2 linked regions of the Caenorhabditis elegans genome follow. The protein of the gene in region 1 purifies or fractionates together with the protein of each later gene. This does not show direct contact. Each region holds a gene or a part of one and is shown in the gene's direction. Other genes may lie near its edges.

What was found.
Region 2: the proteins of ifet-1 (region 1) and oma-1 purify together in Caenorhabditis elegans (affinity purification with western blotting; 2 studies listed by BioGRID). This does not show direct contact.

The regions. Positions count from the first base shown.
Region 1 is NC_003281.10:4,466,150-4,483,742, reverse strand, and holds ifet-1 (Translational repressor ifet-1), read left to right. Parts: upstream 1-8,592; 5' UTR 8,593-8,599; coding exon 8,600-8,772; intron 8,773-8,820; coding exon 8,821-9,011; intron 9,012-9,058; coding exon 9,059-9,162; intron 9,163-9,212; coding exon 9,213-9,298; intron 9,299-9,346; coding exon 9,347-9,456; intron 9,457-9,502; coding exon 9,503-10,342; intron 10,343-10,390; coding exon 10,391-10,938; intron 10,939-10,983; coding exon 10,984-11,064; intron 11,065-11,109; coding exon 11,110-11,179; intron 11,180-11,225; coding exon 11,226-11,308; 3' UTR 11,309-12,340; downstream 12,341-17,593. Other genes in the region: ins-17 (Insulin-like peptide 17), read left to right, coding at 6,222-6,369, 6,468-6,646; rps-3A (Small ribosomal subunit protein eS1), read right to left, coding at 6,929-7,183, 7,233-7,628, 7,674-7,796; mstr-2 (Ubiquitin-like domain-containing protein), read right to left, coding at 13,015-13,209, 13,257-13,391, 13,715-13,835, 13,916-14,188, 14,245-14,447, 14,495-14,593; ndg-4 (Nose resistant-to-fluoxetine protein N-terminal domain-containing protein), read left to right, coding at 16,368-16,608, 16,970-17,074, 17,123-17,213, 17,406-17,563. UniProt on the Caenorhabditis elegans protein: Involved in translational repression of multiple mRNAs in the distal gonad. Recruited to the 3' untranslated region (UTR) of zif-1 by oma-1 and is required for translational repression of zif-1.
Region 2 is NC_003282.8:8,875,664-8,891,549, forward strand, and holds oma-1 (CCCH-type zinc finger protein oma-1), read left to right. Parts: upstream 1-13,312; 5' UTR 13,313-13,422; coding exon 13,423-13,460; intron 13,461-13,508; coding exon 13,509-13,676; intron 13,677-13,722; coding exon 13,723-13,953; intron 13,954-13,995; coding exon 13,996-14,143; intron 14,144-14,187; coding exon 14,188-14,419; intron 14,420-14,462; coding exon 14,463-14,869; 3' UTR 14,870-15,336; downstream 15,337-15,886. Other genes in the region: hdl-2 (Histidine Decarboxyase Like), read left to right, coding at 1-316, 360-437, 483-592, 636-832, 877-975, 1,021-1,138, 1,183-1,313; npax-4 (Paired domain-containing protein), read right to left, coding at 1,948-2,026, 2,602-2,742, 3,539-3,713, 3,757-3,864, 4,057-4,162; C09G9.8 (TransThyretin-Related family domain), read left to right, coding at 5,821-5,907, 6,052-6,174, 6,223-6,300; C09G9.5 (MARVEL domain-containing protein), read left to right, coding at 10,907-10,937, 11,497-11,622, 12,133-12,240, 12,292-12,423, 12,536-12,635, 12,690-12,792; spr-2 (Suppressor of presenilin-2), read left to right, coding at 15,812-15,886. UniProt on the Caenorhabditis elegans protein: Zinc-finger RNA-binding protein that binds to 5'-UA[AU]-3' motifs in the 3'-UTR of maternal mRNAs to suppress translation in oocytes and embryos.

The DNA.
Region 1 (17,593 bases):
TCTGCAAGTTTTTGGTGACTTTTGGTAACATGTCTTTGACTCTGTGAAACTCAACATGTAACTTGTATTTTGTAATGAAATCTTTGCTGAAAAAAGAAAAAATATTTTTGATCAATTTGTTTTTTTTTCAAGATAATTTTTCAAGATACGCCAGTTTGAAAATATGCAATTTAGCGAGGCTTCTAGCTTTTAAAAATTTTATAATGCCCTAAACGAATGAATTTCAGATTATCAATGTTCAATCAGAATCTAGTTATTTTTGTACTTTTTCATTCTAAAGAACGTGCAAAAATAATGCTCCGTGATCCTAGATTTTAATCGAACGTTTCAAATTTCCCTTGGGAGCTAATATATGCTTGAAAAATCTCTAAAATATCAACAAAAAAGGCGGCAAAGCAGCAAAAAATAAAAGATGAGAAATAAAATTTGTAATTCAGGAAGTGATTCAGTTAGTTTTTCCTGAGTTTCTCTGCCTCTAACCCCTACTGTAATCATTTGTCTATTCACATTGTCACGTCATCTGATCTTGTCTGCGTCTCTCTCAATCCAACACTATTTCTTCCCATCCCAGATAGCGCGGGCATCTCTCTTTGTTGTAAATTGGCGGATGCTTGAGAGAGCTTCAAACGGATGCGCGTTGAGCTCCAATTAGAAGACTCTAACTTTGAAGAAACTCAAGAAGAAGACGAAGAAGTTGAAGCTTTTTCCACTTTTACTCACTTATAAAGACAATTTAAACCTTTTTTATTTAATTTTCTCTTATTAAATATTCATGTTTCCTTTCTTTATTCTCCCTCATCATATTCTTCATCTTCACACTTTGAGTTATCCTATTTTGTATCCTAATTTTCTTAGAATGACGAATTTTCCCTTTGTAAGGACTGTTTTCTTCTGAATTCGGTGTTTGTGACATAGAATATATTGAGAAAATATAATAAAATTGGTCCTACCACGGCTAAAACTTTCCAACTACAGTATCTCTTTTATTTTCCCGTTTTCATCAATTTTTTTTGTTTTTTTTAGTTAAAAATTGTTCAAACCACTTTAAAATGTTTTAACAAATTGAAAACTATAGGTTCTGTAGTTGTTTTGTTCGCCGCAGAACCCGAGAATAAGATTTTGGGTATACATCTCATTTGTTGCTGACTCGTTAAATCTCTCATTTTCTTAGAAAAAATAAATAAAGCGCCACTTGGCACAATACTTCTAACTTTATTCATTATTTCAAACTTTGAAAAAGATTTTCTGATGCTTTAATAAATTGCAAATAGGTCTAGACGGTCTAGACAACTTGAGCTCTAATTTAGTTTGAGAGCGTCTTGATTTCTGGCAACTTCTACAAGTTCCAGTTTTTAAGTTTTTTTCTGGAATTTCCTAAAGAATTAAAGGTTTTTATTGAAAAAAAAGCCTTTAATTTTAAAAAATAATCACTTATTTAGATAGCTGAAAAATAATTTTTTCGTTTTATGAGCAAAAAAAACAAGAACTCGAGTTTTAGATGTTTTTTTAAACAAAGTTTGTTTTGAAATTATTGATTTATTGTAATATGTATTTGATTTTATGTGTATTATTTTCTCTTATGACACGATTCGTATGGAATCGTATTAAATAAATAAATAAATAAATAAATAAAATAAATAAATTCAAATAGTTTTACCGTTTTTAAAACGATATGACGTCATATTTTAAAATTTGCACAACCACAATCTGCAAGACTACATTTCAAACTGAGTTATGTTCCCACATTAGCTCATATTTCTATTTATCCCGGAATTTTTGAATATGACGTAATTTTTTGTATTTTGCAACAAAAAAGATCACCAAAAATTATATTTACTCAGAATCTTTTTTTTTTTTGGAAAATAAAATTGTTTTGTCCAAAAAGTCCAGTTCTCTAAAAGTATAAAAGTTAGATTAATACCAGGAAGCATAATTTTCTTTTAAAAGAGAAAATAGTATAATCAAATCTAAATCAAACAATAAATTTTCCAAGAACTTAACCAAAAATCGTAACTTTGTACTTTTAACACAAACGCAAAAATATTTATTCAGTATCGCTGCGAGGAAAAAGTTTATGATACAATTTTGGATTTTTTGGAGAGTTCGTTGTTTTTTAATGCGGAGCAAAAATATTTAGATTTTTAAAAATTTTCAGTCAATTTTGGTAAACTGCCAAATTTTACAAAAAGTGATTTTTTGAATGAAATCTAGAGGTTCGAACCCCTACAGTTTTTGAATACAAACAATGGAAACGTAATCAATTAAAAAAAAATCGTAGAGCATTTTTTTGGTCGACTTCCAGAATTATGATAAGTGAAAACTAAGTTTTCGCTCCTTTATTGAAAATAATAAAAAAATGTTCGGAAAACTACAAATAGTCGCAAGATCTATTTGAAATAAACTGTAAACTTCTCTAGGCATCTATTATGATCACTGTGCACATTACTTGAACATATTTCCATGGTTTAAAATATCAGCATATCATAGTAAAACTTCTGAAATAATTTTTTGAAATGTTTTTAGCCTGCCAAAATATGTTTTTTCTGTAAGTTGTATTCTAAATATTTTTCAAACATATGAAATTTCTATACATTTCTCGAAAAAATGTTTACTTCAGATCGATTCTAGTTTATCTTTGCCAAATTTTTTTCAGTAAAAAAAAACAATTTTTGTGCCGTCAGATGCTCGAATTGAACTTTTTCCAAGTGATGTCATATCCTCCTCAATTTGAAAAAGTTGTACCATATGATGAGAAAAATTGATGTGGAACAACAACAATAAAAATTGTATTTTGCCAAGAAAACGAAACTTTTCGATTACATTTTCCTTCTCCGGACGTCCACTTTGCACAAGTATAACAAAAAATTGAATATTTCCTTCTCCTACTCCGCCTACCCAGTTTTCTTCTTGTTTTCACATTTTTCTTTTGACTGGGAACACGTCGTAAGTGGCTATTAGTCTCATTTTCTTTCCGCATTGTTCTGATGACTCAGTTTCAATTTTGAAAAATGAATTTCAAATATTTTCTGTCAAGAAAGGGCGCTCCATTGAACTGTGCAAACACTATAACGCAAATCTATACACTACATTTTATTGAAAACTTGCATGACGTCATACGTTCGGCCCTGTGTCGATTTACGGAGCTAGTGTACTCCCCGAGGAGAAGTGTGTATTTATTTTTCACAGGGTATTCAGTTTTTTACTAAAATTCTTCACTTTGAAGCATTTTTCTTAGCGATTTTTGTATTTAATATTAAAATTGTATTTTGATTCTCGGCTTTCGGTGCAAATCGATACATTTAAAATTTTAAAAATACCAAAAATGTTTCAACAGGAATATTTTTCCAGTAGTTTTCCGAAAAATATATATAGAACTTTCTCTGAAGCAGTATATAAAATGTTAAAAATCAAAAACTTTATTAAGAAAACTGTAAAATCCTATCAAAATTTAAATTACAACTTCTTCTCAGAGAGTACACGAGCTGCGTAAATACAGGGTGGGCCAAAAGTATGGTAACACGTTTGCAGCTCTATAACTTTACTAGTGGAGAGAGTTATTACATCAATTTGTACAAGTTTTGTTCTCCATAAAATACTGACCAGATGAACGTTTTGAATTTTCAAAATATTCCCATCCGCATCGCTGCAGGCCTTCAGAACTTTTGAGATCACGACCTTTATGGCACGCAAGTCGGCATTCTGCGAGATTTCTACATTTTTCTCGAGGAATCCATCAAGTGTCTTACAAGTTTTTATAGTTCAAAGAATGCTCTTGGTCTAGAGATTCTTTAAAAACAAAAATCCAAATAATTTCTATCACGGTATTTCTGTCATGGACTGCGGCAGTAGGTTAAGTCTTGAATGTCATAGTCGCCAGAAAGATGGATGTGAGCGGCGAGTAGCAGTATGCAGAAAAATTCATTTTAGTATTTTTCGAGACGTTTTGACCTGACTTTCCAGAAGTTTTTTAGAAAATTGAGCTCGGATGATTTTGTGGGTCGTTACGCCTTGCGAAACCAAAAAAACTGAGTCAATTTCGCAAAGTTGAATTCATGAAATATTCAAAGGTTCTTGCTAGGCGCCAGTGTCGACAGAGAAAATTTTTATATGCTACAAAAACAATTAAAAACGCTTCTTCACTTCTTTAACTTTAAATTTAACATAAAAATCATACATCTCAAAATTATTGGCGTGCGTGGGAGGTGTGTTTGTGTGGGAAGTGCCGCGTGCCAAATCACCGTTTTTTCGAAAGGGTTCGCCAAATTGTCGAGGTGATAAAGATCGCACCTTATTGGGAAACATTACAAATTTTGAGTCAAATTGAAGGAAATTTATTCAGCTATCAGTATTCGATAGAAGAATGTACGTATGACGTGGCCGTCGCGCAAAAAGCTCATGTAAAAGAGCGCTTCATGTGTTACCATACTTTTGGCCCACCCTGTAGACACAGGGGCGGACATTTTTCCGTTTTATAAATTATAGAGTTTGAAAGCCCGTGGTACATTTTTTTTAATCTGAAAAATTTAAATAAAGATCCCAAAGATTTTCTTGAGATTTTCGACGTCTAGGGATTTTCGGAAAATGTCAAAAATGTACGATTTCGTGAAATTATTTTTTGGATTACTTCGATCTCTGTGCTTTCATTTCCATTGGTAACCTTTTGGTAATTGACGAATTACTGCAGTTCTGAAAAATTTTCCCACTTATGTGACAAAACTTCCATGCTTACAAAAAAAGTATAAATCCACGTGTCCATGTTGCCAACGACTACTAAATTCACATAAAGTTGTCAGAAAAACTTTTGAAAACTTTTACGACAAAAGCCATAGAAACAGTGCTTGTATATAATAAACGAGATGCAAGTTTCCCACCAGTTTTCACTTTACTTTTATGTTTTCTTGTTTTACAATTTTTCAAAAAGTTTAGAACTTTTCCAAAATTATTGTGTAAAATGTGCACTGGAATTATTTGAACATTTGAAAACATTTGATCTATGTTCCCATGAAACTTCCGCACCAATCGAGATCGCAAGAATCATTAATGAACAGGACGCAAAAACAAGCAACTCATGGGAAATTATTATTATTTGGTCTCTTCGGAAATCATGACGTCCTTGCGTTTTTTTTTATTTCAAGGATTTCTTAGTGCTTTTCTTCAGAAAATTCTACGGAATTTTCAGAAAAAATTTTGTAAATCGCCTCCTTTTTTCTCTAGTAGTTCACAATTTAGGTATCGTAGAAACACAAAATTCACATTAAAAATGCATTTTGAACACAATATGCAAATGCGCTCTAACGCCAAATCAAAACGCTCCGCCTCTAACAGCTGGGTCTCGTTAGGTATTTGGCGACAAAGCCATGAATTCAAAATTTTGTTAATTGTCATACATTTTTCGTATTTTTCTTATACTTTCCTCTGTTTTCAATGATTTTACGCCGAAATAATTTTTACAATTCATTTTAATTTATTTCATCAATTTCGGAAAGAAAATAACAAAAAATCACGAACAACTTTACTTTGGTATTGGAGCGCGCTTGCATCTCCATTTAAAAAAATGAAATTTTCTACGTCTCCATAATAGGAAAAACTATGAAAATTAATAAAATAACTGTTAATATCCGGCAGTAAAGTTTCTTCTGAACCTGAAACATCTGAAATTTTCATTATTTTTCTTCGCTTTTTAACATCAAAAACTAGGTTAAAAAGAGATTTGAAAAAAAAATTGTAGAGATGACGTGTTGGTCATCCGGCATCTAATCAACTCTCTATTCTGTGTTTAAAAACACTGAAGACGGACGAAAAAGTTGTATTTTTTTGCTTTGAAAATTCTCTCTCTCTCCTTTCTTTTTTTTCTTTTTTCATCCAAAAATTCGTTCACGTTCACAAGTTTTCGATTAAGACATTTTAAAAATGGATCCGCCAACCCGGAAATTAACGCTTCTCTTTGCATTGTGGGAGAAGAATTTCATGTGAGAAACAACAACAGCTTTAAGTGTTCGAAAAGCTCAAGTCTAAAAAATTCAATTTCCCGCTGTCATCTGTGTTCAAACTCCGCCCATTTTGCAAAATTCTTTAAATACGTACAATACTTTTCTGGATCTAGTTATGCTACAATTCTCAATTACTTATAATTCTAAAAACTAAAATTTAATAAAAATCTTTAATTTCAGAATCGGTTACTCGCTTCTCGCGGTTGGCATAAGCGAGTATCTGTGATCCAAATGTTCTCGACCAGAGGGGTACTCCTTTTACTGTCTTTGATGGCTGCTGTAGCCGCATTCGGGCTGTTTTCTAGACCGGCTCCAATCACTCGGGACACTATCCGACCACCACGTGCCAAACACGGTTCGCTGAAATTATGCCCACCAGGTAATTCATTTTAGGAATTATAGAAAGAAGTTAGCTTTTTGATTCAAAAAATAACTCTAATTTCTAGGAATTCAATGTCTAAAGTCGTTATTTTACAGGTGGTGCCTCATTCCTTGACGCTTTCAACTTGATTTGCCCAATGCGCCGTCGACGCAGGAGTGTTTCAGAAAACTACAACGACGGCGGTGGCAGCCTTTTGGGACGGACAATGAATATGTGCTGTGAGACGGGATGTGAATTCACTGACATTTTCGCAATCTGCAATCCTTTTGGATAAAAACGATCTACTTTACCCTCGCTTTACTGGAACTCCAAATAAAACAATTTTCTAATTCTTTTCTCTGAATCTTCCATCATCTTGTTCTACCGTGCGCCAGCTTGACACTCTCAATCCCATCCCGTATGTCCACACCAATCATGCTTGTTGGGTTTAGATCTCATAAATATTTCGTTAACAAAATTGAGTTGTATTTTTCAGATATATATGATGTATGTTACTTTTGAAGTTTTTTAATTTTAACATTTATCGCAATGCGACATAACAATGAAATTATAAGACTTAAACTTCTTGTTGGACTGGTGGCTCGTAGTCGTCTGGGCGATCAACCTTCTCACCGTCGGCTCCAACGGTGATGGAGTCTCCGTGCAAGTCGTGAAGACGTCCAAGATCAACCTTTGGTCTCTTGATGATCTTGACCTTACGGATGTAGACTTCTTGGAGTGGGTAGAGCTTGGAGCAGGTCTTCTCAATATCTTTTCCGATGGAATCTGGGATGAGCTTGCTGACAACCTCCTTAAGGTCGCATCCGGTGACCTGCAATAAAAAATTTGTTTTCTTTCATTAGTTATTTTTTGCTACATACCTCCTTTTCGATGCATCCGATCATCTCGGAACGGATCTTGCGGATCTTGGATGTCTTGGTGTAGGAAGTCTTCTTGACTTGGTTGACGGACTTCTTGGTGAAGGCGATAACGAAGACACGGAGAGTGTATCCATCAGTGGTCTTGACGGCGGTGTTGGCCTCGATGAGAGTATGCCACTTCTTGACGATGGAGCACAACTTATCGTGGGTCATCGACATAGCGTGGAAGTTGGTGAGAACGTTCTTTCCCTGGACATCTTCAGCGATGAGCTTGAACTTTCTGAAGTCGGCCTCAGAGTTGTTCAAGTCTCCGAGTGAAACCTCGAAGACACGTCCCTTAAGTCCTTCGGAAGCGATCTTAGTTCCTTGGGTTCTGTTGATAAGGGTCTTTCCAACCTGAAAATAGCATTTATAGAATTATAAAACAAAATAAAACGTTACCTGGCGGGTGTTGAACATGTTTGGGGCCTTGATGTCGTACCATTCCTTGCGGGAGAATGGATCCACGGCCTTCTTCTTACCTCCCTTCTTTCCCATCTTGTTATTGTTCTTTCCGACCGCCATGATTGAAGCGGATTGATGCCAAGCTGTGTCTGAAAATAGGAATACATAATTTAACAGTACAAATTGAGAGTATAAGCTAAAAATTCGACGGAATTTTCCACTCGACACATGAGTTTGCAATAAGATATTAATAAACACTTGAATAAACGGATAACTGTTTGAAAAATTGATTTTTTTTCAAAAATTGCTGAAAAAATAGGAGGGAAACGGAAAAAGAAGGCACGGAAAAGTCCTAAAATTTGCAATTCTCGAGTTGCGTCGCAAGTGTATGCCATACACTCCGCATGACGCTCCACAATGCGTATTACCGTAGTCACAGCGCGTGAGAGACATCTTCTCTCAAACAGACCCGTTTTCATTCGTTCTTACGCTTATTTCAGACGTCTTTCCAGATTATGCGAAAATAAAATTAAAGCATGCAATTCGTCTCATTTTCAGCTGCCATTTCAGCTATAATAGTTGTCATACCTCTCGTTAATCGGAAATTAATAGGCCAAAACCAAATCCATTCAAATTTTGGCGCTAAATTTTTGAAGATGTGCGCAGCGCCAGAACTTTTATGTATTTTCCAGCTCTAATGGGTTTTCAGTTGCTTCTTATCAATTTTGGTCGCCAAAATAAGTTTCTGCGCGGTAAATCGCTATGCTTCGTTTTTTTAGTTAGACATAACAAAAAATCGATATAAACTCGATTGCGATACGTTGTTCTTGCGCAGCTGGCATTCTCTTCTTTTCTGACTGCGATGGATTTTAATGCTAATTGTTGAATAACTAATCATAGACATTCGATTTTTCAGTGTAAATATGACTAGTCATCTAGACGACGAAGGCCTACACCCAATGGTCTCAACCCTTCTCGGAGGGGGCACACTTCCGACGGTACCGTTCAAAGCGTACACCAGAGAACGAATGATGGAACTGAGAACTACCAAAGCAAGCATGACGAGGCCTGAAAACCTCTCAGAAGATTTCAATGGGTTAGTGGTACAGTACGCAAAATATAATTGCATAAAATACAATTTCAGCGAAGATGGTAAGTTTTCTCCTTTGAAATGGCTTGAACACCGTTGGGAAATCGAAGGAATTAAAAATCGTCCGATGTCGAAAAAAATTGATTCGTTATGCGCTGGCGCTGATGAAAATACGGGTTTGTCTCCACAACGGAGAGCATTTAGCAGTGGCTGCAAAGCACCAACAGACGACAAAGGACGTGACGGTAATCAGCTTGGAAATACGAGTTTGATCATAAACTTTATTTTTCAGGAGAGTACGAAAGATTGGGAGGGCATGGAAAGAACTGGAGAAACGGAAGTACCGGTGGTGCCGATAAATTTGCTTCGAGAGGAAATGACTTCAAACCATCCTTCGTACGCAGTTTCAAAATATAATGTTTCATGTTTTACCAAACATTTTTCAGCAGAAAGGTAACCAGCTTGAACGTGGTACTCGTGGAGCCGAATGGAAAAAGGATACGACACGAGGGGCAAAATTCGCACCACGGAGGTTAGTATTGAGTAGTAGCTAAAAATAATGCTGATATTTCTAATTCAGAGAGGAACGCCTTACGAGCTTGAGCGGAAGTGAGAAGCTGCCAGAATGGGCTGACGGTCCCACTACAATGGACGATATGATTGAGTTGCGCGGATTTGATGAACCAAAAAGTATTCCTAATGTCTCCTATTTATTTTATAATGTTATTCTTTTCAGAAGTGAAGAACAAAAAGAATCCAAAGGAAAAGAAGGAGAAAGAAGCTGTGAAAGCTCCGGAGCCAGTGGAGTGCGTTGGATCCCGTCCGTCATCAACTGGTCTCAAGACTTCTGAACCTATTGACGATCCAGCAATTGCTTATTCTTCTTCGGGAGGAGGAGCTCTTCCGGCTACGGATCAGGAACTCGCGGCTCTTCTGGGATGTCTTGACATTCAAAAAACATCAAGAAAGATCGATGGCGACGATATGGCTTGGGCGCACAAGAGTGAGGAAACTGCTGGAGGAACTAGTCGTCTCAGTCGGTTCTTCGCAAAGAAGAACAAGTCCCCTGAATTGGACGCTATGCTTTCGTCAGTTGGAGGCGGAAACGATGAAAACGTGGCTAATCCAATGCTTGCAAGACTTTTCGGTCATAGTGGTGGTGATAACAACGCTTCATCTTCTGGAGCTGGTGATATAAAAGGAGGAATGCGGTTGGAAGATTTGGAGAAAGGCATGGAGTCAAAGGAACCTTCAAAAGTCAGTCCATTGCAAGATCCATCACAACAAGCACAACTTCTGCAACATCTGCAAAAATTCGCCAAACAGCAAGCAGAGTCTGGTCAGCACATACATCATCATAGACAACCAACACCACCAAATGGAGGTCCACAGCATCAACAACATTTGCATCACCCTATGGTTCATCCTGGAATGCAAATTATCGCAGATCCAAGCCTTCTTGCAAGCTTCGCACAGAATCCAGTGATTTTGAATGCCTATGTCGAGAATCAACTTCAAGAAGCAGTCAATGCTGCAATTCGTGCAAACAATGGGCAGCAGCTTCCACCACAGCTTCGTATGTTAAGCATTTTTGAATACATTTCATGATTGAATTATTTTTCAGATGAGCAACTTCGTATGGCATCCATGCGTAACAAGGCTTTCCTACAGTCTCAGACTCTCACTTTCGTTAGTCTTCAACAACAGCATCAGAACATCCAGCAGCATCAGCAACAACAACAGCATCATCAACACAAAGGTCGCACTCCTGCTATGATACCTGCGTCTGTGCAGCGGCAATTGCAGAAGAGCTCCTCAAATGCTGATCAGAAGAAAGAAAAGACGAGTCAGAGCCCGCCAGAGAGCAACCAAGAGACTTCCGACGCTCATAATCAATCTGATGCCATGAACCAACTGAAGAAATTGCACATGCAGCAGAACTATGCCAATATGGTGCAGGCAATGAATTCTGGAGTCGGATGGGCACGCGGAAACGGCGTTGTTAACGGACAACAGCAACATCCACAGCAGCAACTTCCACCAAATGTTCAAATGCTGATGGCTCAACACCAGCAAGCTCAAATGCAGCACCTCAAGATGATGATGTCCCGTGCTCAACAACAGCACATGTTGATGGCAAAGATAGCTCAAATGCAACAACAGCAAGCCCAGGTACTCGTTTTTTAAATCAATACAAAATTATATTTTCAATTTTAGATGGCTAACATGCAAGAGAGACAGGGACCCAGTCATAATCAGCAACAACACCAACCTGTGGTTCCATCCGAGCTGTCACAGGTGCTTAAATCGAAACGTTTGCCTATTAGTATATCCAATTTGCAGGTCGGGCCAATTCAAACTCCGCTTGAGAAGCTGCTGGCATCGGTTGGAGTTCAGGGATCTCAATTCACTGGTTCGTGCTAAAATTTTCTAATTTTTTGCTAATTTAACTTTTTCAGGGTCCGGAGATCGAATTCCATCGTCGGTCCGTCCAATGTCTCTGGAAGATCTCGAGAAACAGTTAACAGCTGTTCCAAAGTAGAAATATGGGTTTAATTCCCTAGTTCATAATAGCAACTTTTTTTTTGTTTTTCCTACCTTCACATATATTCAACCATGTTTATCGCTTACCATCCACCAAGCGGGTACACATAGTCATGTATTCGTATTATTTTTTTCTTCTCTCTTGTTCATATAATCCCATCTCTTTCTGGTCCTTTTCTCCCTCGTGTCCCATCAAAATTTCGCTTTACCGTCGCTATTTTCTTCGGTTTTTTGTTGTTCGGCATTTCACTGAAATCGAAAAAAACAGCGGGGTGTCCCCCCACAACCTTTGTTGGTGATCCCTTGATAGTTTCCGTAATGCCCCATAATAAGTTTGTTTCCTTTTTTTTAATTTTTACTTTTCTAATTATGTTCCAAGTTTTGTTATATTGACGCATCTTCGACGTGTTTATATATTGGTCCCCGCTGCTCGAGTGAACCTCGATAGATTGTAAAGCGAACTTCAGTGAATTCAGAATGATTTGCATTTTTAGTTCATCAGAACTCCATTCTCAATGATTTCACTTCTTTTCCCCCAACCTACCGCCTTTTAGAACACACTGTTCTCTCTTCCTCCCCTTTTCTTGTAAGCTGGTTTTTCACTTGTTCTTCCCCTCACATCTACCCAAATCCCTTCGGAAAGTTTGTATAAACACCTTCGTAGAGAATTTCTTGCATCCCGTCGGATGCGTAGAGGATCTCTCGAAAATGCGAAAAGTTTTATAAGGGTACACTCATTTTCAATTCCATCTCCCACTCAATTTTACATCAGATTGTCCCTAAAACGTTTTTGTACTTGTACAAGTTTGGTGTCCACATTTTGTTGGATCTCGTCCACTCTTGTTCTCATTATTTTTTGTCTCCTTTTGTGCACCTCCCATGTTGTGCCACGTTTTTCATAAGCAGTTCACCATTCCAAACAGTTTTTTGTAGACACATTTTTCGTTTTTATTTTAGAAATGAGAGGTGATGTGTTCTATAAGATGGATTTGGATTTGGATAAAATGAATAATTGAAGAAGATTTTAAATTTTTGGTTTTGCAATACATGGCGAATACAGAAGGAAAGTGAACTAGCAAGACTCGACTAAACCTTTTCCGAATTCTGGGTTTGAATACATATGTCTAGGTTTCTATTTAAATATAATTGATGTTTCTTCGTTTCCTAGTTGTTAAATATTTTTGAATTTAAAACTATTTCAAGAAAAGAAAGAAAAACCTGTGAAAGTTGCAAAAACTAATAAGCCTACCGTATTCACAGGTACGGTAGTTGAAAAGTTTCTGTCGTGCCAGAACCAAGAGTCGCATTTGATGCAAGGAATCTCGGAGTCTAGTTTATAAAAAATTCCAGAAATAAGTTATAAATTTACAAGACGCCGAATTGCTTAACCATTAAGAGACAACACCGAGAGAGCGTTGACTGTTGGAGTGTGGTGCCTGCTATTTGATATCCTTTCGAGGTGTGCTGCTCTCGTGGCCGCGTGGCCTAATGGATAAGGCACCAGACTTCGAATCTGGGGATTGCAGGTTCGAGTCCTGCCGTGGTCGAAAGTTTTTGCTGAAACCATGATTCAAATGTTATTTTCAAGATAAAGTCTTTAGTGGAATTGATTCATGTTTAAAATCGAGTAAACTAATTCATTCAAAATCATATTTCTTTCATTTTGTAAAAACCGAGTTCTTCTAATTCCTAATTCTTCTTTTCCTATGATTCAAACTTGGCTTTTCTCCATCCGCCATCTCCAACTTTCGAGTTATTCTTCTTCAATTTGTTCCGTCCATCCTGCTTGTAGTCAATCACACATGTATGATTCTTTGGATGACGATGACGATCACAGAAGATTCTAAGACACTTGCAATGCATGGTCTGTTGAGCTGCGGAGAGCTTCTTGAAACAAGTCTGAAATTTGATTTTATTTTGATTTCAAATACAATAGAAACACTTACATTACACTTGGTCTTTCTCTCCGCTTCGAATTTTTTCAAGTTCTCAAGCAATTCTTCTTCGCTGCTCGGAGCAAGAACCATCGAACGGCGGCATTGTTTGTGTTCCTCAATTGTTTCAGGTGGATCGAAGAAGAGCTGTAATATAATAAAATAAATCTTCGTAGATTTCATATTTTTCACGCAAAACTCTTGCCACTAATAAACTTTTCAGAAATTTTTAATCGAAGCAGAAAAAAATAAGTGCGCGTCTTTAAAAAGTACAGTAACCCACTCCTCGTTATTTTTGGGAAAATATGCAATTTCTAACTTGATTAGTCCTCCCGAAAATTTAAAAAATACTTTCACACATTTGAGTGTTTGAAAATAGTAAAATAACTTGAGCGGGTTACTGTACATGTTAAAGGCGCACACCTTCTGGATAATGCCGCCAAATGTCTGCTGCTTAACTGGCATATTACCTTGAGTTCTTTTTCGGTAACAACCTCGGCATCACTTTCCGGTTCACTTCCAGAGCTGACATGAGATGAAACTGTAGACGGCGAAGACAACTCTCCGGGAGGAGTTGCAACCGGCGAGAATCTGGAATTACTTTGTATAAAACTGCTTTTTGAATATTCAAGCGTTTCACGGTATTTCAGAGAAACATTCCAAAAACTCACGTTTGCGCAGATCCGATTTCAGAATCAACCGGTGTTCCAGACAAGATTGGTGCGTGTTTCTTACGGCGAAGCAAAGTTTTCATTCGATTTCTAGTGAACTCATTTTCCATTTGCTTCTCCGGTGTCCAAAGACTTGCATTTGCATCTATGCCACTCATCTTCTTTGGTTTACGATGTACCGTATGCATTCCTTTGATCTCCTTTCTCAGTTGGTCTTGGTTAGTTGGGAAAATTGGTGGCATCATGAGTAAAATGTCAGTTGTAGTAGGATTGCTGAAATTCAGACATTATTATCAGCATTTTTTGTGTCCTTTTTTGGGTTCACTTACGTAACAATTCCTGTGCTCATTTTAACATTCATCGTGATTTTTGCATCAGAATTAATTCCACAATCAGTCATTGTTTTGTTATTATCCTTGAGCTCCATTCCTTTGAAAAGCAAAACCTGTCGATTGGTCAAAACCTCGGTTTCTTGTTCAATTCGATTTTTGAGAATGCTAACTGTTTCTTTATCTTTCATTTCCACCACAATCTATAAAAAGAGCTGATTCTTTTCACTCAAATTTCGCGAATACATACCTGTTTAACTCCTTGCATCACACTGCTTACAGTAATTTTCACAATTTTATCATCGTTTGGAGATACCATTGGCGAATTGTTTTCACTTGATGGATCCATGATATGCTTTGATGATCTGGTTTATCGATTATCCGAACAAACTTGGGAATGACAGAAAAAGTGAAATCGATTGTTTTTAAATACAACTTTTTACCGTAAACGTGAATGTTTTAAAAAATTGTTTTACGTGAATTCTTTAAAAAAAATTGAGTTTAATATTTTTCTGTTTCTATGCCACATTGAGAGAATTAAATTGAAAAGTGGCGGAGTTCTTTCATTATCACATAAATATCACCGAAAGAAGAGTTAACACATGTACTAATTATTGCGATAGGTCAATTGGCAATCCCATTAACACGGAGGATGTAAATGTCTGCGTCTCATCAGTTAAAAACAGTGACTTGGTCATGAATGACCTCTTGTTCCCTCATTTGGTATGGTAAAAGAGGAAAGAACTGTTCCCGAAACAAATATTTTGTCATTTTGCTTTTTTATTGATTTCTTCCTTCTGCAAAAAGTTAACTTCTTTAACTTTTAATCCCTCAAGTTCCTATTCAATTTGTCTCCAAATTATCGTTTCATGCACTTTAACACTGTCACAATCTGTAATGATAACAATTGTGGCAGAGATTCGGATACGCATACAGTTAGACATTTGAATGTTATACACTATCATTCTATTCTAATTCGGCGCAATGTGCAGAATGACACTTTTACAGACGATTTTCGCTTTTTTATATAATTTTTAATCAATGAATGTCAAGCTGTTCTAGGACTGAGAAAGGAAACATTGATTTTTTTTCGCTGAAAAAAAAAGAATGATTCATAACAATGTTTTGGAAATTGTTTTTCAGTTTTTGATTGATTTATCACAATTACACACTCTGCATTTATGACCCCCAAGCGTACCAAAAATACGGTTACAAAAAGGCATGCGCCTTTAAAGACTACTGTAATTTTAAACTCTTATTGCTGCAGAATTTTTTTTTCGATTTTTCATAGTTGTTTCACGATTTTTTTTGAATTGAAATACGCGTGTTTTTGTCCTATTCAAGTTTTAAATGAATAAATCAATTAAAATTATTTTTTATCAAAAAACTATGAAAAAACTATAAATATCCCGCAGCAACAAAAGTTTGAAATCTTTCTTGAAAGCGCACACTCTTCTTTACAACTTTCGATCGTGTCGAGACCGGCTACTGTATATTATATTACAACGATCTGAACCTTTTTCTCCAAAAATTCCACTTTGCAAATCTGTCTTATTCCTCTCCATTATTTTGAAAAAAATCACTTGAATGCCAATCAAATTCTTATCAAATTATATCAGTCAATAAACTTTCTTCTCATTCAAGAACAAGAACAACGTTGCCTTCAATTTCACACATTATAAAACAAATTATAGTCTAGTATTTGAATTTCGTTGTTTTAGAAATTTCGAAGATTTCCTAGGAGTTCTAGGTGTATATCTAAAATTATTTTTGATTAAAATCTATTCTTTGCCTATTAAAATCTTCAAATTTCTCATTTGAAAACTATTTTCATTAGAAATTCCACATAAGGGCGCTAAGAGGGCTGGAAGAGGCGCCCTGTGTCGCCTCTACCGCTAATGAACAAACGACGTGCAATTTCCGAACACTAATCATTAATCGAAAAAAAGAAAATAAAAAAGAACAGAGATTCTTATCAAATTTGTCATTTCTCCGTCTTTTTTTCTCTCATTTTTATTGGGAACACTGAAACACATTCACAAGTGAAAGTGTCAAGTGGTTGCCATTTTAATTGAAACATTTTCTTTAATTCTTTTCAATAGATTTTTTTGTGTTTTTCAGAGATGAGGACGTTCCTCATCACCTTGGCACTGTGCCAACTGGCTCTTTCTTGCACATTGTGCCATTTTCGTACTCCGCCACGACCAAGACCATTGGATCAGTACAAGCTTCCAAAACTAGGTGGAAAGAATTTGGATTTGGAGAAAATGCCAAAGTTTTGCAATGCTTCGAAGGAATTACCAGTGATGGATTCGTGTAAAAAGCAATTTGAAAAAATTTTCTGCTCAGCGGATAGATGGACAGGTAGGGTAAAAAAGGGTTTTTTTTTGTATCCAAAGATTTTCCAATAAGCTTTTGAAATCTGTGGATAACGGAGTGGTTAGTAATCTAACAGAAATTTTAGGCAGGCAGGCACGTCTTCAAGCCTACCTGAAATAATATGTACATTGGCATTGGGCATGTTTGTAGGCACAAGTAAGCCATTTTGTAGGTAGACAGACAGGCGCTGTTAAAATTTGTTCGGTATTATATAATTTAATAGGAGGCAGGCAGGCTCGTAGGCAGGCGGGGATGAGGCAGGATTTTTTTGACTTTTTAGGAAACATCTCTGTTTCTTTTGCTTCGAGATAAATCGAATGTCTATTTACATTCCTATGAGTTTCAGACACCTTCGGAGGATGTCAATCAATTGCCAATAAATCGTTGAGTGAGCAAGAACAATGCTCAAAATGTGCTTATCAAAAAGCTAATAACGGATGGGTACTCAAGTGTATGAAACTTTCATAATATAAAAATATTGAATTAAAATAATTTCCAGGGTTTGATTCACTGGGAAAACCTGCTGCAGGTATCACTGATGGAAATTACTATTGGCTCGGAGATTATGAACTTTGTGCCGCACTTGCAAGGTTAGTGAAATCCTTAAGTTTTAATTTCAAAAATTTTTCGAGCTCTCGACAAAATTTACATTTTCCAAATTATGCCTATAATTATTTTCAAAGTTAAAGAAATTTGTTTGGCGAATTTCCGAAAAGTATTTTGAATTTATGACTTTCATAGCCAAATCAAACTTTTGTTCGTTTTTGAAACTTTTTTTACAGCGATGGATCATTTGACGGTCAATATTGTCGTATTGAAATGGAAGTTCCAGACGCTGGAGTCGAATCAGGATGCCCTCAAACTGATCCGTTATCGATTATTCTTGGTGTCTGCTTCCCATCCGCTTGTTCTGTTGCTGATTTGACAACGGTTTCATCGAGTTAGTCAAGTTCTTTTTTTGTTGAATGAT
Region 2 (15,886 bases), on another chromosome or scaffold:
TAATCCGTCATGCGATTGAAAAATTTGAAAAGACGGATTCGGGCAAGGAACGATCGAAGAACGCGGATTACATTGTATACTGTAGTGATGATTCTCAAGTTCCACTGAAGGAACCGTGTATTTCGTGCCGAGTTAAACTTCGAAAAGTGATCACCGATGAGAAGAACGGATCTGGAATGACATCAGCGAATTTGCTGAAACAAATGGAGAAAGATATTGCAAGAGGATTCACTCCACTAGTGATTATTGCAAACTATGGATCAGCTAATATCGCGGCAAATGATGAGATTTGGGATCTGGTAACAGTCTCCAGAAGGTATTTTATCTTTACATGTTCCAACATTTTTCCCAACTTTCAGCAAGAAAATCTGGCTTCACCTTGATGCATCGTATGCTGGATGTGAATGGCTCGACAGTAATAGCAGAAATAATGTTCAGTAAGTTAACCGATTTTATAAGCCTGCTAGATTTCCAATTTTCAGTGCACTAATATCCGAAGTACACTCCGTGCACATTACATGTTCATCCCTGTTCCCGTATTCTGGAAGAATTTCAGTTGTTTGGAGTTGTGAGAAATTGGAGTTGGATGGAGGTGAGTTATTCTGGTAGAATATGTCCTAATGTATCTATTTCAGCCAAGATCCTTTATGGAGAACACCCAATTCGTTTATGGATTCTCATTCGTCTCCATGGTATCCGATCAATTCGTGAAGCTGTCAAGCGAAAGATTATTCTTGGGAACGCTTTCTCTGAGAGGATGTCACATCATTCACAGTTATTCGAGATGCATCATACCAATGAACATGGAGTTACAGTTTTTCAGTATAAAAATGTATTTTTTTTATTTGAAATAATTAATTAATTTAGATGTTTCAGAAAAAAATCAAAGATCGCACTGAGGATACAAATAAGATTACTTCAATGTTCCACAACTATCTCGTCTTGTCCTCAACTCTCAAGTTCTCAATTGTTTCGGTTAGTTTTTGAAACACAGAATCGTTATAATTAATATATTTCCAGTTCCACGGAAAAGTCCTCATCAAGTCAGTTGTCAACTACGGTCGATGCAACCTCTCAATCATGGACGAGTCTGTCTCGACTTTGGTGAACAGTGTCGATGAGTTTGAAGAGGCTTTGAGTAAGTTTAAAATTTTAGATTAAAAGAAAAACATGAATTTTCAGAGAAGAAGAAGAAGATAGTTTGTGAGACTCCGAAAAATGAGTTCTGTGAAATGATTGGGGGTTCACCAAATGAGACAACTGATACCACACAATCGGATGATGGAATTGATAAGAAGAAGAAAAAGAATTGATCTTTATGATGATTGGAAAAGTTCTGTGAATAAATAGTTTGAAGTGATTTTTTTTTGGTGGCCTAATCTAAATATGGGCTTTTGTCTAGTGTAGCCTGGTTTCATCTATCACTGCCTCCTTTGTCCATTTTTTGCCGGAATTAGAAAAATGGTGATAACTAGGCGGGAAAAAGGTGGTAGAAAGGTGGCAAAGAGATGGTAGGAAAGTGGCAAAGAGTGGACGGAAGGTGGGAAGCCCAAAAAATAGTGGATTCACTGTTTTCTGTGCTTCCCACTTTTTGTACACTTTTTTTCACCTTTTTTCAAATATTTTCAACTATTTCAGTCTATAGATATGAAAATTTAGATCTAAGACTTTCGTTTGAAAATATCAGTGTTACTGTTTGACTCTCTGTCTTTGGAAAAACAGAATATTTTTAAATAATTTTATGTAAAACTCCGACAACCAGGAAAAAAACGATAACCGGACAAAGAAATCAATCACATATTTTGCGAGAAATCATACGATGATAAAACAATAGTGGTAATATTAAAACTTTGATAATCCATTTCCAAGTATATGACAATATTATTAACTTAAAATCTCTGACTTATTTCCAAAGTGAACGTCATTGGGCATTTGAAAGTTGATAATTCAAATTTCAAGTGTTGAATATGATGGCGGCTTTGAGAAATAGATGATACGTGAGGATGTTGACTCATTCCGAAGAAGGCTGAAAATCCCACAGAAATTAATATTTAAATAAATATATTAATAAATAAGTAATGTTGAATGCCATGAACGGTATTTTTTTTTTTAATCCGTTGTGCAGTCTAGTAGGTTCATTGTCTCGCAAAATATCCAGGCAATAAAAAGAGTGAGGCATTGGAAGTTGTAAACTCACTTAAGACATAGAGTATGGTCTTCCTATTTTATGATTGAGGATTAGCTTGTGAATCGTTCTATCCGTGATGCATTCTAGGATGTAACGAGTTTTCTTGCCAACCAGTATGCGTACTATATTTATGTTAAATTTGTTCAAACTTTAATGGTGGACCATCAAAATTTGTTTGTCTCTAATAACCTCAACAGATTCCGAGAAGCACAATTTCAAATTTGAATCATGGAAAAAATCTCAAAAATGTTTTATCCCCATTCTAAATTAAAAAAAGGCTGTAAAATAATTGTATTGATTTATGCGATTAGTTTGACTATTTTGGTTTGTTTTTTTTTTCATTTATTACTGGTAAATTTTCAGAAAATTTTAGTTATCATAATATTAATAAATCGACAAAAAGAACCACTTACTTTTCAATCGAGAAAAATAATCGAATAGTGTTATCCTGAAGATGTTTGCAATACCGTGCATCATGTTCTTCTGCAGATCCAGGACAGGAACAAGAAGCTGTTCGGCATGCTTTTGCAACTATTTCACCAGTTTCAGCGTACCTAAATAAACATATTTATACTCATAACAGTATCATAATGCAAAGGCGATGAATAATAATTTTTTTACACTTGATATCCCGTCAAAAGAGCCAACATTTCCCACCATGTCCATCGTTTTGCTATTTCAACATAATTTTCTTGAAACCTCCAATTCAGAAATCTACAGTTTTTTTTAATGTTCGGCGATATAATCTTAAGATTTAACTGGCCGGATGAGGGAACATATCAAAGTCCGCATAAATCATCACATTTCTATTTGATTTAGCGCGATTAGTAGTAAATTTGGAAGTGTGCGCGGAAGGTGGACGAGAAGGACGAGTGACACCTTAAGGGCGCCCGTATGGACATGGAGTGGTTAGCATATTGATGTCGGGAATCCCGACTCGGGATTACTGTAGGTAGTGTAGGTAGGTGAACATTGATTGTCAGGCGTGGGGACGAATGGCCCAGATATGTTAAAGTTTTAGGTGGATAAGTGAAGCAGAAAACTATTTTTGAAACCTGCAAACATTTTTTAAAGAAACATCAAGTTTGAAAATGTAGAATTGCGGCAGTTTTCCCAACAGTCCTAAATTTCCCATTTCCTCTACGAAACTAAGCCTTTCGCATGAGCACAAACTAATTTTTCTTCGTACATGAGGCACTAAATGCGAAAGTAATGAAAATTGTCCAAAATCATAAACACAATTTGAAAAAGTTTCACCTTTAGAATGAATCCTCATTTCTGGATGTACATTTTGTTGTTTTAAAACTGGCACAGAATTAGACTAACAGCAACAAAACGAATGGTTCTCACCTTCTTAAAACCTTACTCACACAGCTGTGAGTGATCCCTAATTGTTTAGCAATATGAATCTTCTTCATTCCCTTCTTATAACATTCCACAATTTTCTGCCTATCACAAGTTAGAAGTGGTCGCCCAGAGATGTATGGCCGACCATATCGATTTCGTGATGGGACCACATTGGTCACTGTAATAAATAATCTTGTAAAGCATAACGTTCTTGAACAAACTTTTCAAATCCTTTTGCTTATCAATGCATGACGAAGCAAGCTTTTCAATATGAAGATCCGGTCGCCGGAACGCTTTTGATAGTTTTTCCAATGCAGCAAGTGACGAACCTGAAACACTTTTTTGAATATAAAACATGGGAAAAAGAGAGTCAAATTTTCAATTTGAGTGTGCAGTTTTGCCGATAAAATGTTCTTGTTCTAAACCGATCTTTGTATTCCTAGAAATTAAGTTTTAAACGCTTATAGCCGGAAATCGTTTGAAAAAAACACTAAGACTGTAGATGATTCTAGAAATCTCACCTGATGGATGACCATTTGACAAAGCTTTTTGTGCAGCAAAGCTAGAGAGCAGAGCAGAGTTTTGAAAAAGGAAGTTGATCGGTGGAAATATTGATGGCGACATCATTTTTTGACAGAATTATGATGATAAAATTGTGAGAAAATGTTGAATTAAGTCGAATCCACCTTGTTGTCAAGTAATACGGTTTCTTGACCCCCATCGGTTTAGACCTTTACGCTCCGCCTCTTTTCTTGTTTTTTAGGTTCAAGGATACGGTAGTCGTGTAAAGCAGCATTGGAAGATGAGAAGAACGGCCTGATGATGATATCTGTTAGACGGATCGGAAATGAGAGGAAGTGGGAAGAAGAAGCGTGGCGGCAATCCCTTTGTAATTTGCCGCCGGAATGAAGAAAACGACGAGTAGGTGACAAATGATGATCAGGTGTATTGTAAGAATTATTAATTATCGTTCAGGATTGCCAGAAATGTGAAGGTGTATAAGGAATGGAGCGGGTAATGAAGTGTATTTTTTGTGCTTTCAACGGGTTTCATTATTGATACATGATTACCTATTTTTAGAGCAATAAAAATGAAGCTCATAACTTTTAGAAATAATTATTTGAAACGTTTCTATACTATTCTCTGTGCGCTTCTCTGCAGCTAGATGTTGAACCTTTTTTTTTTGGAAGATTTCACAACTATAACAAGTTTTTCACAAATTACTCTGATTTGTTTAATGTCTCCTTATCCAATCAGAACCTTTTTGTGTATCGGATAGGTGTGAAAGATATTGTTGATAGCGGCAAAGGAACATGACAAATTGGTCACACACCTGAAGACACGTCGGAAAGTGCGAATCATCATCATTTTTCTTTTGTCGGCACTTCGAGACATCTATTATTCTTGCAAGTAGCGGTTTTTTCAAAGAGAAAAAGTGCGGTTTAATCAGTGAAACTAATCAAAATAGTTTCAAATTGAAGCACACAAAATCACTGAAAAATTGAAAAGGTGCCGAATTTCGCACTTGATTGGAACATCATTAATCACTGTTAGAGAACTTTTTTGTTGCAGTAAGGGGTTCAAAGGTCCTATCAAAATATCCCATAATGATACTTATGATTACAGTGTAGATGATGAATTGATGAGCGGAACATTGAAAGAAAAGTGTGAAACTGATTGATAGATCGAACAATTCGAAGTGACTTGATAGTTGCAGTAGACACAATGGCACGTTATCTGTAAACTTCTTTGACAAGGGCTAATAGAAATAGAGAACATAAATAAACGCCGATTTTCTTGAATAGTATTGCACCGAGAGAAAAAGAAATGGCAGACATTTTGTCAATTAACAATTTTTGTAGGACCCACGACAAATGAGAATGTTGAACAATTGGGTGCAATACCAATAGAGTAAATACGGTAATCAGGAAATTTTAAAACTTTTTGTATAGATATTTGGCATCAAGGCATGGCTAGTTGTATAGAAATATTTATCCAGTGCTACTTTTTTCCCCTACTTTCGCAACAATACCAAAAATGTTTTATTATATTATATTTTTGTTTTTTTAAGTTAAGGCATTTAGAATTGTCCCACCTACCACCAAACCAGAGAACAATTGAATTGAAAATTGACTCATCGCTATGATGTGACGAAGTCATTGACGTTTCACATTTGCAAACATTTAAAAATCATCGATTTCTTCAGAATTTCACCATTTATTGTTTGAAGATCTTGAAACCTTAAACACTTCTCTACTATTTCAAAATTGTGTTTTTTGCAGACGATGAACAAAATTATTGTCACGTTTCTTTTTATAATTGTCATTTATTTCACCTGCTCTGAAGCATCTCTATTCGGAATGAAAGTGAAGGTTAGGTTAAGTCCAATGTTTTAGCCAATAAATGTTATTAAGATGGGTGAGAGAGTTGAAATGAATTTCTAAAAAGGCGCTAAGTCTCTCATTAGGAAAATGAACCGAGGAAATCAAATTTATCATTTTGACGGTAAATTCAAGGGATCATTTGTTGATGAAGCCGGAAACATAGTTGATTCTTCTAATTATGAAATCTTGAATGGATTCCTTGTTATCAAAAAGTTTACGGCCGCAGATATTGGTCTATACTCAGAGTACCCAACTGTGAGTTTGTTTAATTAACTTTTCAAATTTGTCAAATTTATTTTTCAGAAATACATATACGGGAGGAGTTCAAATGGCTTACCTTACGCAGTTCTAGGACCCGCAGTTTCTGTTACAGTAATATAATTTAAAAAGCGTTCTAATTGAGAATTGATTGGAAATAAACCGTGTAAACAAGAGAACTATAGCTTTTAATTTTGAGGAAAATACCCACTGACTCCAAAATCATTGCCTACCCTCGCTATTCGCCTACCTCTTTCTCATTGACTCATTGCCTTTGTGTGGACAGTGGAAATCTAGAAGGGTTTCAAGTAGTGAAACTGGGTTATCAAACTTATCAGGGGCAAAATTGCAGATGCTGAAATCAACTCCAGTCGGTGCTGCCAATATCTCTGTTGAATAGAGAGACCATACCGTCATTGTTTTGGAGAGTCATAGGATGTTACACCAGAAGATCATATGGCATAGTAAGTTGGAAAATGCTTTTCGTTTTACTAGTTTTTTTTAACTTTCTTTTTACTATTTCTTTCAGCAGTTCGTCCGCAACTTCCAGTGATCTTAATAAGAGCAGATAAGAGCAGATTACCATTTTCATTAGTCCATTTGGGTATTATCATTTCACGTCTGTTTTAAAATAAACAGTGAAATGAAATCACCGTCTACTATTCTACAATACAAAATGATTGATGCTTATTTAGTGTCTCTGTGAATGGTCACTATAAGTGGATTCACTTCGGAAAACCACTTATCTCACTGAGGGTTGGGGGGTGACAATATCGTTCACTCACTTCACTTTTGATTCAAAAACAAATACAAAATAGTTCAGTTCAACTCCAATTTCCTCATTCAAATATTTCAGACTTTTTTGTATTCTTTTTAGTTTCATTGGTCAGTGCCACAAGTACAATCATGTAGGCGATGTCATCAATGTGGTTACTCACAAATTGTTAAATTTCCTTGTGTGGGTGTGGCTCAAAAAAACAGGGTTTGAAGCTGAAATTTTTGTCAAATATTAGATGGAAAAACAGTGAATGGCATGTTTATCGATAAGAAACAGATGAAGTATTATTCTTTTTTAGATTTCTTAACTTTATGATAACTTCCTTCTTTTTGAAAACTGAACCTCGCATAAATGCATTAAAAAACGGTTCTTGTGTATGATCGGAAAGCAGTTTAAAATCAAAATTGTCAAGTTATGAAAAATATAAACGTCTTAGTATTCTTATAGTTAGTCTTAAAATGAGGAAATAATCATTTCAAAGCCTAATGAGGAAACATTTCTTTTTCTAAATAAAAATTGACAAAATTTAACAAATGAATGAAATTTTTATTTAATACACAAGAACCAGAAAAGTTTGCCGATCCAGAATCAAATATCAGTTTCACTCAGATATCCGCATTAAAAAATTACTATTCTACTTTTTTTCTAATTTCCGGTTCCTTTTTCAGGTGATATTATTTTGGAGGGCGGAAGTCGTTTTATCTAGATCACCACCATATTTTGTTGAACTTTAGAAACCCATTAAATTCTACTGATAAGCCACATCTATTTGAGAAGTCAATTCCTTACAAAATATACATTACAAATAATATTATTATATTCCATTCGATTCTAGAAAACATTCCTGATATTCCCTTCCAAAAGCTAAATACTCGTGTTTTTTGTTCTACTCACCCGGTAAGGATACGAAGAAAATTCTGAAAAAAAGTGCCGAGAAGTAAGAAGGTTGTACGCAGAAACGAAAATTCAACCGAGATATGGCCGGGATCTATTATTTCTAAAATTAATGTTGAAAATATATGTATCAATCTGAAGAAACACATTTGTTCCAAACGAAAAAAAAACTTGTATGAAAAAAAGCGGAAAGTTTTCAGAAAAGTAATAAAGGGTCCCGCCCATATTTTGGTTTCAACCTTTTCGGCTATTTTTGCCTCTGCCTTTTTCTGCATACTAATCTGATCGAGCACGATACATTGAAAAAAAAATCACATAGGTGAAAGTTCGCACTTTATATTTTGAGTGTTGTCCTAGACCTCAATTTTATGTAACATTTAAGTTTTTTTTACCTCAAGCAAAAAACATTCCAAACTCTTAGAAAGAGGTCATGAGACGGTTTATATAAAAAGGATTAAACTACGTATGTTTATTTCGATGTTTCTTTTTTGTTCAGTTTTTTTTTGTGTGTTTCTTTGGAGTATTCGTGATTTGTCACTCAACTTTTTAAAACTTCCAAGCAGCTTTTTAGAAAAAAAACAAGATTTTTGAAAACGAGTATTTTTAACAGGCATCTTTTACAACACTGACACATGATTAAATTCCCAAAAAATTTAAATTGTATATTTCCATGAAAAGTCCAATTCATAAAAAAAATATTTTGAAGTTGCGAGACAGTGTTTTCCATTTGAAAAAGTAAAGATTGAGTCGTTTGTTTGTACACGAAGAGGCAGAGATGCAGTAGAGCATCATGGAGCATTGAAGATAAATAATCATAGTTTAGTTTTCTCACAATTCTGCATGTATCATGTACCTCCGCTCCCTTTCCGCACCCATTGTAAAATTTTTATGATGACGAAGATATGATTGAGCAAACAAAAATGTTTCGAGATGAATTGCTTTTCATTCTGACTTCTGTGGAAAACAAGATGCCTTTTTTGTTTTAGCTGGAATTATTTATTGGGCGAAGTAAGCTCAAACTTCACTTATCATAATTTTGAGTGTCAGCTAAAAATGTGTTTTTAATATTCTAATTATGTTTCAATTATTTATACTTGAAAATCAACCAAAATTTTTGTATTCAATCAAATTTTCTAAATTATTGGACTTTGTGTGTAATTTATAACAAGTCAACAATTTTACTGTAGGGTTTATTCCTAAACTGTTCACCAAAAAATCAAACGTAATTGGAATATAATATTTGTCAAAAATTGGCCGACTTCCAAAATTGTGATATGTAGCTGAAAACTAAGTGGTTGTCATTTTTTTTATCTGAAAAAACCTATTCAAAAGTTTCGTTATAATATGTCCAATATACACTTCATTTCATTTTTCTCACTATGGTGAACACTGATATGTAAACAGAGCAAGATAATCACTCCAGAGCAAACATTTTTCGAAGAAAATGCCTTTCAAACCGAAATAGGTCAGGAACTCACTTTTTTCGCAAGCCAATCATTTCGGTATGATATTTTTAATCTGCTTCATGATACATCCATTTTATAAAATTAGCCACTTAAATATCATAAAACATGTTCAGAGAAATTTCTATTCAATTTACTGTTTCAAGTGGAAATTAAAGAATTTCGTTGATATTTTCATTATTTGCATGACTTGATTTTTTGTTGCTATGGTTTTTGAAACTTTTACTTTCAGTAATTTTTATTTTTGAATGAAGAAATAATCAACCATTTTTTAAATTTAAAAAAACATTTTACTACTTGAGAGGCCAATTTATCCCATATTTTCAATAATCCAAATGTTAACGTTGGAATCATATATTTATACCAATTCATTTTAGAAATATCAATATTTTATCAGTTAGTAATTTTTGATTATTTTTTGATTAACAGTTGATTGAAAATACACATTTGAAACAACAACTTTATAAATAAGTGATATCATTCAAAATTCTTATACTTCTTATACTTTTTCATATTTTCTCAAGTTTCATGTGATTAGAATTCATTTTTCCCACAAAAAAATGCGCAATATCCGAGCATTTCTTTTATATATTTTCTCTCATTTTTCGATTCCGTAACCATCTTGTCCATCTATTTGTACTCTCGTTGATTGATTTTGGTTTGATTTGATTTTGGGATTGACGAAAATAAATAGAGCAGGAAAATTGGGGACGGCACAGATGAGAAAAAAAATGAGTGAAGACTTTTTGAAGATCATGAAGAGTTCAAATGGTATTAGTTCAAAAAGTTACGAGAAAATGAAAAAGTTTATATAATTTTTTTTTGAAAATAAACTTTATCAGGAAAATGTTATGCGTTTTTGGGTTCTTTTAATGATTTTTTTTAACATTTTAAAATTGTATTGCTTTCAAAAACGAATAATTCAAGCAAAAACGCAAAATTTAAAAAAATTTAAGATGTCGCATCTGCCAAGCTTTTATTAATTAAAGGCATGGGTTGTTACGAAGTATTTTGAAATTAAAGATCAAATTTCGGATTTTTGAAAAATTTAAGTTTTTTCAATGTTAGGAATTTATCTTTTGAAAACTATACTATGAATTTTTCAATTTACTTTATTCCTCTAGAACTCTTGATATTTTCAAAACGATATTTAACTTATTTTAGTATTTATCATGACTCATTTTCCCCGCATTCTTTCAGTATTTTTTCTATATAATACCTTGATCCATACTCTCTCTCTCTCATCATCACATGTTGACCTCATAGTGTCTCGGTTCGGGCCGATTAAGTTTTCGATACGCAAACATTTAATGGTAAAAATGGACATGTGGCTCCTCCTTTTTTGACTGAAAGAGGTTTCATTTGGAAAAAGTAGTTTGACATACTTTCCAGTAGTAATTTTAAGATTAGCCAATATTTGAGAGATTTTGTTTCACCGATTATCTCAGACAGCTGCCATTTGTTTTGTTCGTGAAAAAGTTTTTCTTGGTTACTAAAATACTTTGTCTTACTTAGTTAATTTTCTTTTTTTGAATATAATGTAATTTTTCAGATAATCTTCATCCTGTTTTCGTAAACAATTCTATCTGAAATTATGAAAACAAAACGGGATCTTAAAAAGAAAGGTTTGTCTTTATCCTTTGATTGTCTCAAAATTATAAAAAAATCTGTAAAACGAGAAAGAGTTTGAATACAAGTTTGAATTATTTTTTAAAGACTTTCTGATCAGTTATATTAGTAAGAAGCAGAAAAGTAGAGCGAAATCGTGGAGAGTCCACTTGGAAACTTTAGCGCAGTATAGAAAAGTCAGTAACTATAGTCACGAACTTTTCTAATTCAAATTTAAATTGTCTATCATAGTGTATACATGAAATTATCAAAATATGCATATATTGCCATTTCTTCACTTTTTTGCTCCCAGGTTTCCTGTGCTTTAAAGATTTCCCACTTAAATTTATATTGAGAATTGTTCTTGTTCTTCGACTTTCATCTATGCAAAAAATGTTACCGATCAAAGTTTCTTCAAAATTATCACCACAAAAATATGCATTATCAGACCATTTCCCTTTTCCGCAAAAGTTCAAAAAAATTCACTTAAATAGGTTCGTATCATAATCATTGAAACAAATACAGTGATTTGTAGCCTCCTATTTATTTTTTTTATTCAATTCCTGAAATTTGCAGAAGTTTCCAACACTTTCATCACAATGTCTACAATTTCTGATAAATTATCAACGGATCAAAATTATTTTTCAATGCCAACAGCGCCTAAACCAACGAAGCTTTGTGGATATTTTGGTGTTCATAAAAGTTAGTTTGAGAAGTTTTTATTAATTAATTCGAGAGAAAGTGGGATTATTTTCTAGGTTCCCACACGCCTACCTATGCCTGCCTACTTTTTCATATCTTATGTACTTATTTTGTTCTCACAGTGTTAATTTACACAATTATCTTTATTTTATCATCTTATTTGATGAAAGTTAAATTAACAAATGAAAGAAACAACGTTTGCGTGTACAGAAGGCGCGCGAGGTGAAGGCAGGCAGGCATTATTTCTCTCTTTTTTATTTGATTTTTGACACATTAAAGCTTATCTCTTAATAATAGAAAAATTGAAAACAAAAATAACATGAGAATCATTATAAAATTGTTTACATTTTTGTTTTGTTTGTTTTACAAGTGTTATCAAACCTAAAAATACTGATCACAAAATAAATAACAAGGCTATTTTTTTCGATGGATTATTTATTTATAAAAAACAGGGTAACAAGAATGTTAAGGGAGTCGATGAAAAATTTATATTAAAAAATATGTTTTCAGTTGCAATATTTGGAATCAGTTTCAATGCAATTTTCTTATTTGCATTTTACGTTTATGGATTAATAAGATTGATTCAAAAAACACCGAAGAATTATGTTGAATTTATTGGTACAGTTAAATAAATTTAATCTGAATTATTTAGAAATATGGATTTTTCAGTAATCTGCTCCATACTTATCACCATGATCCTCACCTTCAGTTTAATGTTTATTATGGCAGTTTTCCGTGCGAGACCCAAATTTTTACTACCATATATGGTTTTGAATACGATTCTGTTTTTTGCATATGCTGGTGAGCGAAGTTTTTTTTTCGGTGTGGTTTTAATCAGTTTCGCAAATATTGAGAGATTGTGAACCGGACGACCAAATTTGACAGTTTTTAATTGGAAAAAGAGAGATTACAGGAGCGGTAATCGGATCGACAATCACAGTTCCTGATGAAATTAGAGAAGAGGTTAATGGACAAGATCGGAGTTATAAAATTGTTGATATTATTTTATTAAGGTGGGATTTTGAAAAAAAAAGGAAACCTAGGGTATACTATTTTATCAATTTCAGAGTTGCATTGCTGGTATTTGGTGCATTTGAAATATTCTTCATCTATTCGTATATTTGGACGTATATTGATGTTCGAAGGTTGTACCTTTTCAATCGAAGATGAACTTGAAGTTTCTAATTGATATTTTCAACCATTCATTTTTTTTAAAGATTCCTGATTTTTCACACGGGTTTGTCGCTATAATTTTTTGATTGTAAAAAATAAATATGTTTTTTTTTAACTTAAATTAGTGCATAAATTGTTTGATTATAATAACATATCAGTTCACTACAAGCAGTTATAGGCGTGAAAACTTTTGGCCTACAGTACTCCTAAAAGACGCACATCATTTTAAATCGCACACGTGAAAACAGTGCGACCGTAGTTTATGCCCCCGCGTAATATGAAGGAACCATTTTTCAGGCTTTTCTTGAGTATTCCTTGTTTCAAATATTACTTTTCGGCCGGAAATTCTGACATATTTATATTAAAAACTTTTTTTTAAACTTTTTTATTGTGCACCGGCGCCAAAATGTGATATTTTCTCATAAATGCCATTCGTATCTGTTTTGTTCGCACTCAAGTATTGTTTTATGTAACGTGTTTTTGTTTTTCAGTAGGATCATTTGATTTTCTTTTTCAGAACTTACAGCTCGCAACATCTTCCGGAAATCGAGTATCTCCGGTGTTGATTGTTAAGCATTCCCTGCACCCGATTACTTACACTATTCACATCCACTCAACTGCATCAATATGAACGTTAACGGTGAAAACAACGAGAAGATCGATGAGTGAGTTTAACAAAATTCAAATGAAAAAGTAATTTTATGTTATTAAAGGCATCATCTCGAGAGCTCCCTCGCTGGCGTTCCAACTTTGCCCGTTTCACCACTCGATCACGCTAAGGACTTGTCTCAAACTAATCCGAATGCCCAGATTGGAGATTTGGTTACTCAAACTGCTAACTTGATTGCTATCAAAAAGCAGTTGCTTGAAGATATTGCATTGTGCGTTGGCTAATTTCCTGAATATCTTCAATTTACTACATTTCAGCAACCAACATATTCAATCGATGCAAGTTCGCGCGATTCAGAGTTTTCCCCAGAACAACCAGGTTGCACCTCCATTTCAACAGTTTGATCCTAGACGCCGCGGATTAGCCCGAATGCAGAAACCAGAATCATACAAGACTGTGATCTGCCAAGCTTGGCTCGAATCTAAGACTTGTTCTTTCGCAGACAACTGCCGGTTTGCACATGGAGAGGAGGAACTTCGTCCAACATTGTAAGAATGAAGCAAACAAATTATGTTAATTCCAATTTTTAGCGTCGAGCCGCTGCAGAACAATAAGTATAAAACGAAACTCTGTGACAAATATACGACTACAGGACTCTGCCCATACGGGAAACGGTGCCTTTTCATTCATCCCGATCATGGACCAAACGCATACATTCGCGCTGATAAACTTCTTGAAGTCAGAAGAAAACATGTATTTTTGCTCACTGTAAACATTTTCAGGTTTCTCAACGCCATGCATTGGCTGACATTCGTGATCAAATGGAGCAGCACATCATGACTAATGGTCGCATTGCAGCTCCCCCGCTTTCTGCCATTCAGCATCCTTTAGAAATGTTTGCCAGGCCATCAACTCCAGATGAGCCAGCGGCTAAATTGCCACTAGGACCAACTCCTGTTAGTACTCGTGGTCCAAGATATGAGCTACCAACGAAGGAATTGCATGACGCGGAAGGTAAAAATTGGCAGCTAGTTGCAATTAATGACCTCTGTTTTAGGTGCGATGACCTATCCACCGTCTCGCTGGCCATTGGATCCATCGATGTTTGCTCTAGACGCTTGGAATATGGCACATCGGCCAGCTAGTCCACTCGATTCGATGGTTTTGGGTTCCGCTCCAAATGCTGGCTCGTTCGGAATGCTCGGAAAGCAAAATACTCCTGGAGGAGTTTCTGGATATTCATCTGCTGGATCCACGCCTTCTCAGGATCTCAGTTCTTCGTCACTCAATGCAGCATCCGCAGCTGCCGCTGCTGCATATTTCGCAAATTCTGCTGTTGCTCAATCTCTTCTGATGAAATCTGTCGCAACTGATCCAATGATGTCATGTAACGGACCATTCTCTCCAATGCCAGGATTCGATCAATTGGCCGAAAATATGACCAAGCATCTCAATTTGTGGTGAACAACTTCTCTACATTTGTCAAATTTTTAAACACTTTCAATATTCGTGTCCCCCATACTAACTAATAATGCGTGCATTTGTGAATATAATAAGTTTTAGTCGACGTGTTCTTGTCCCATAGAAACTTGGCCCAATCGTCAAAAGCGCCCATTCCCATTTTAAATTCTCGAAATTAATATCGAATCTTGTGATGTATATTGTAATTCATCGAATCATTGAATGTATTCCAATTTTCACCGCTCGAGTTCCCGATTGCCTTCTGTCTCACTAATCCCTTCCCCAATCTCAAAATAAATTGCACCTGCCACGGATCATAATTGTGATTCTTTTTTTCTATCTTTCTTTCTTCTCAATGGCTCCGATACTGCCCGTACGTATTTTTCTTTCGTTTCTTTGTTCATTTAAAATTTTTATCCGAAATTTCCTTCTTGATCCTCATTGCAGGATGTAGTAAATTTTTTTGATCGATTCAATTTTCAAATTTATTGAAAATCAGGTTATATGTTCCAACACGAAAACTATCTAAGTACGTACCATGAAAAAGCAAAATAATATTGCAATTCAAGTTAGCTTTGTTCTCAATATGAGAACATTACGGTTTTAAAGACTTTATATGCATGCATGTTAATTAGTTTTTTCCCAACCGTTTAACCGATAATAATACATTTATTTTTTTAAATTTTAAGCTTCGCGTTCTTGACTAGGTCATAAATTGTCGATATTTATAAAACTGTTAATTGTGGGTAAGCTTGATCAATCACTTGATTAAATCAAAAGTGTCTAGGCTCTATTCAAAATATGCGCCAGTCAACACTATTTGCGCATTTTCAGTGCGTTTGCGCTTATTCTGTTGAACACTTGCTTTACAAACTCGCCCTGCCTTTTGTTGTTCTACTAAACAAGCTCTCTTTGCCGTTAATCTTCAATTTTTTCAGTTAAAATATGAGCGAAGAGCCGGCTGCAAAGCGAATGAAAAATGCCGATGAGTTCCCAAATCTCCGATCCGAAGTAGCTGGT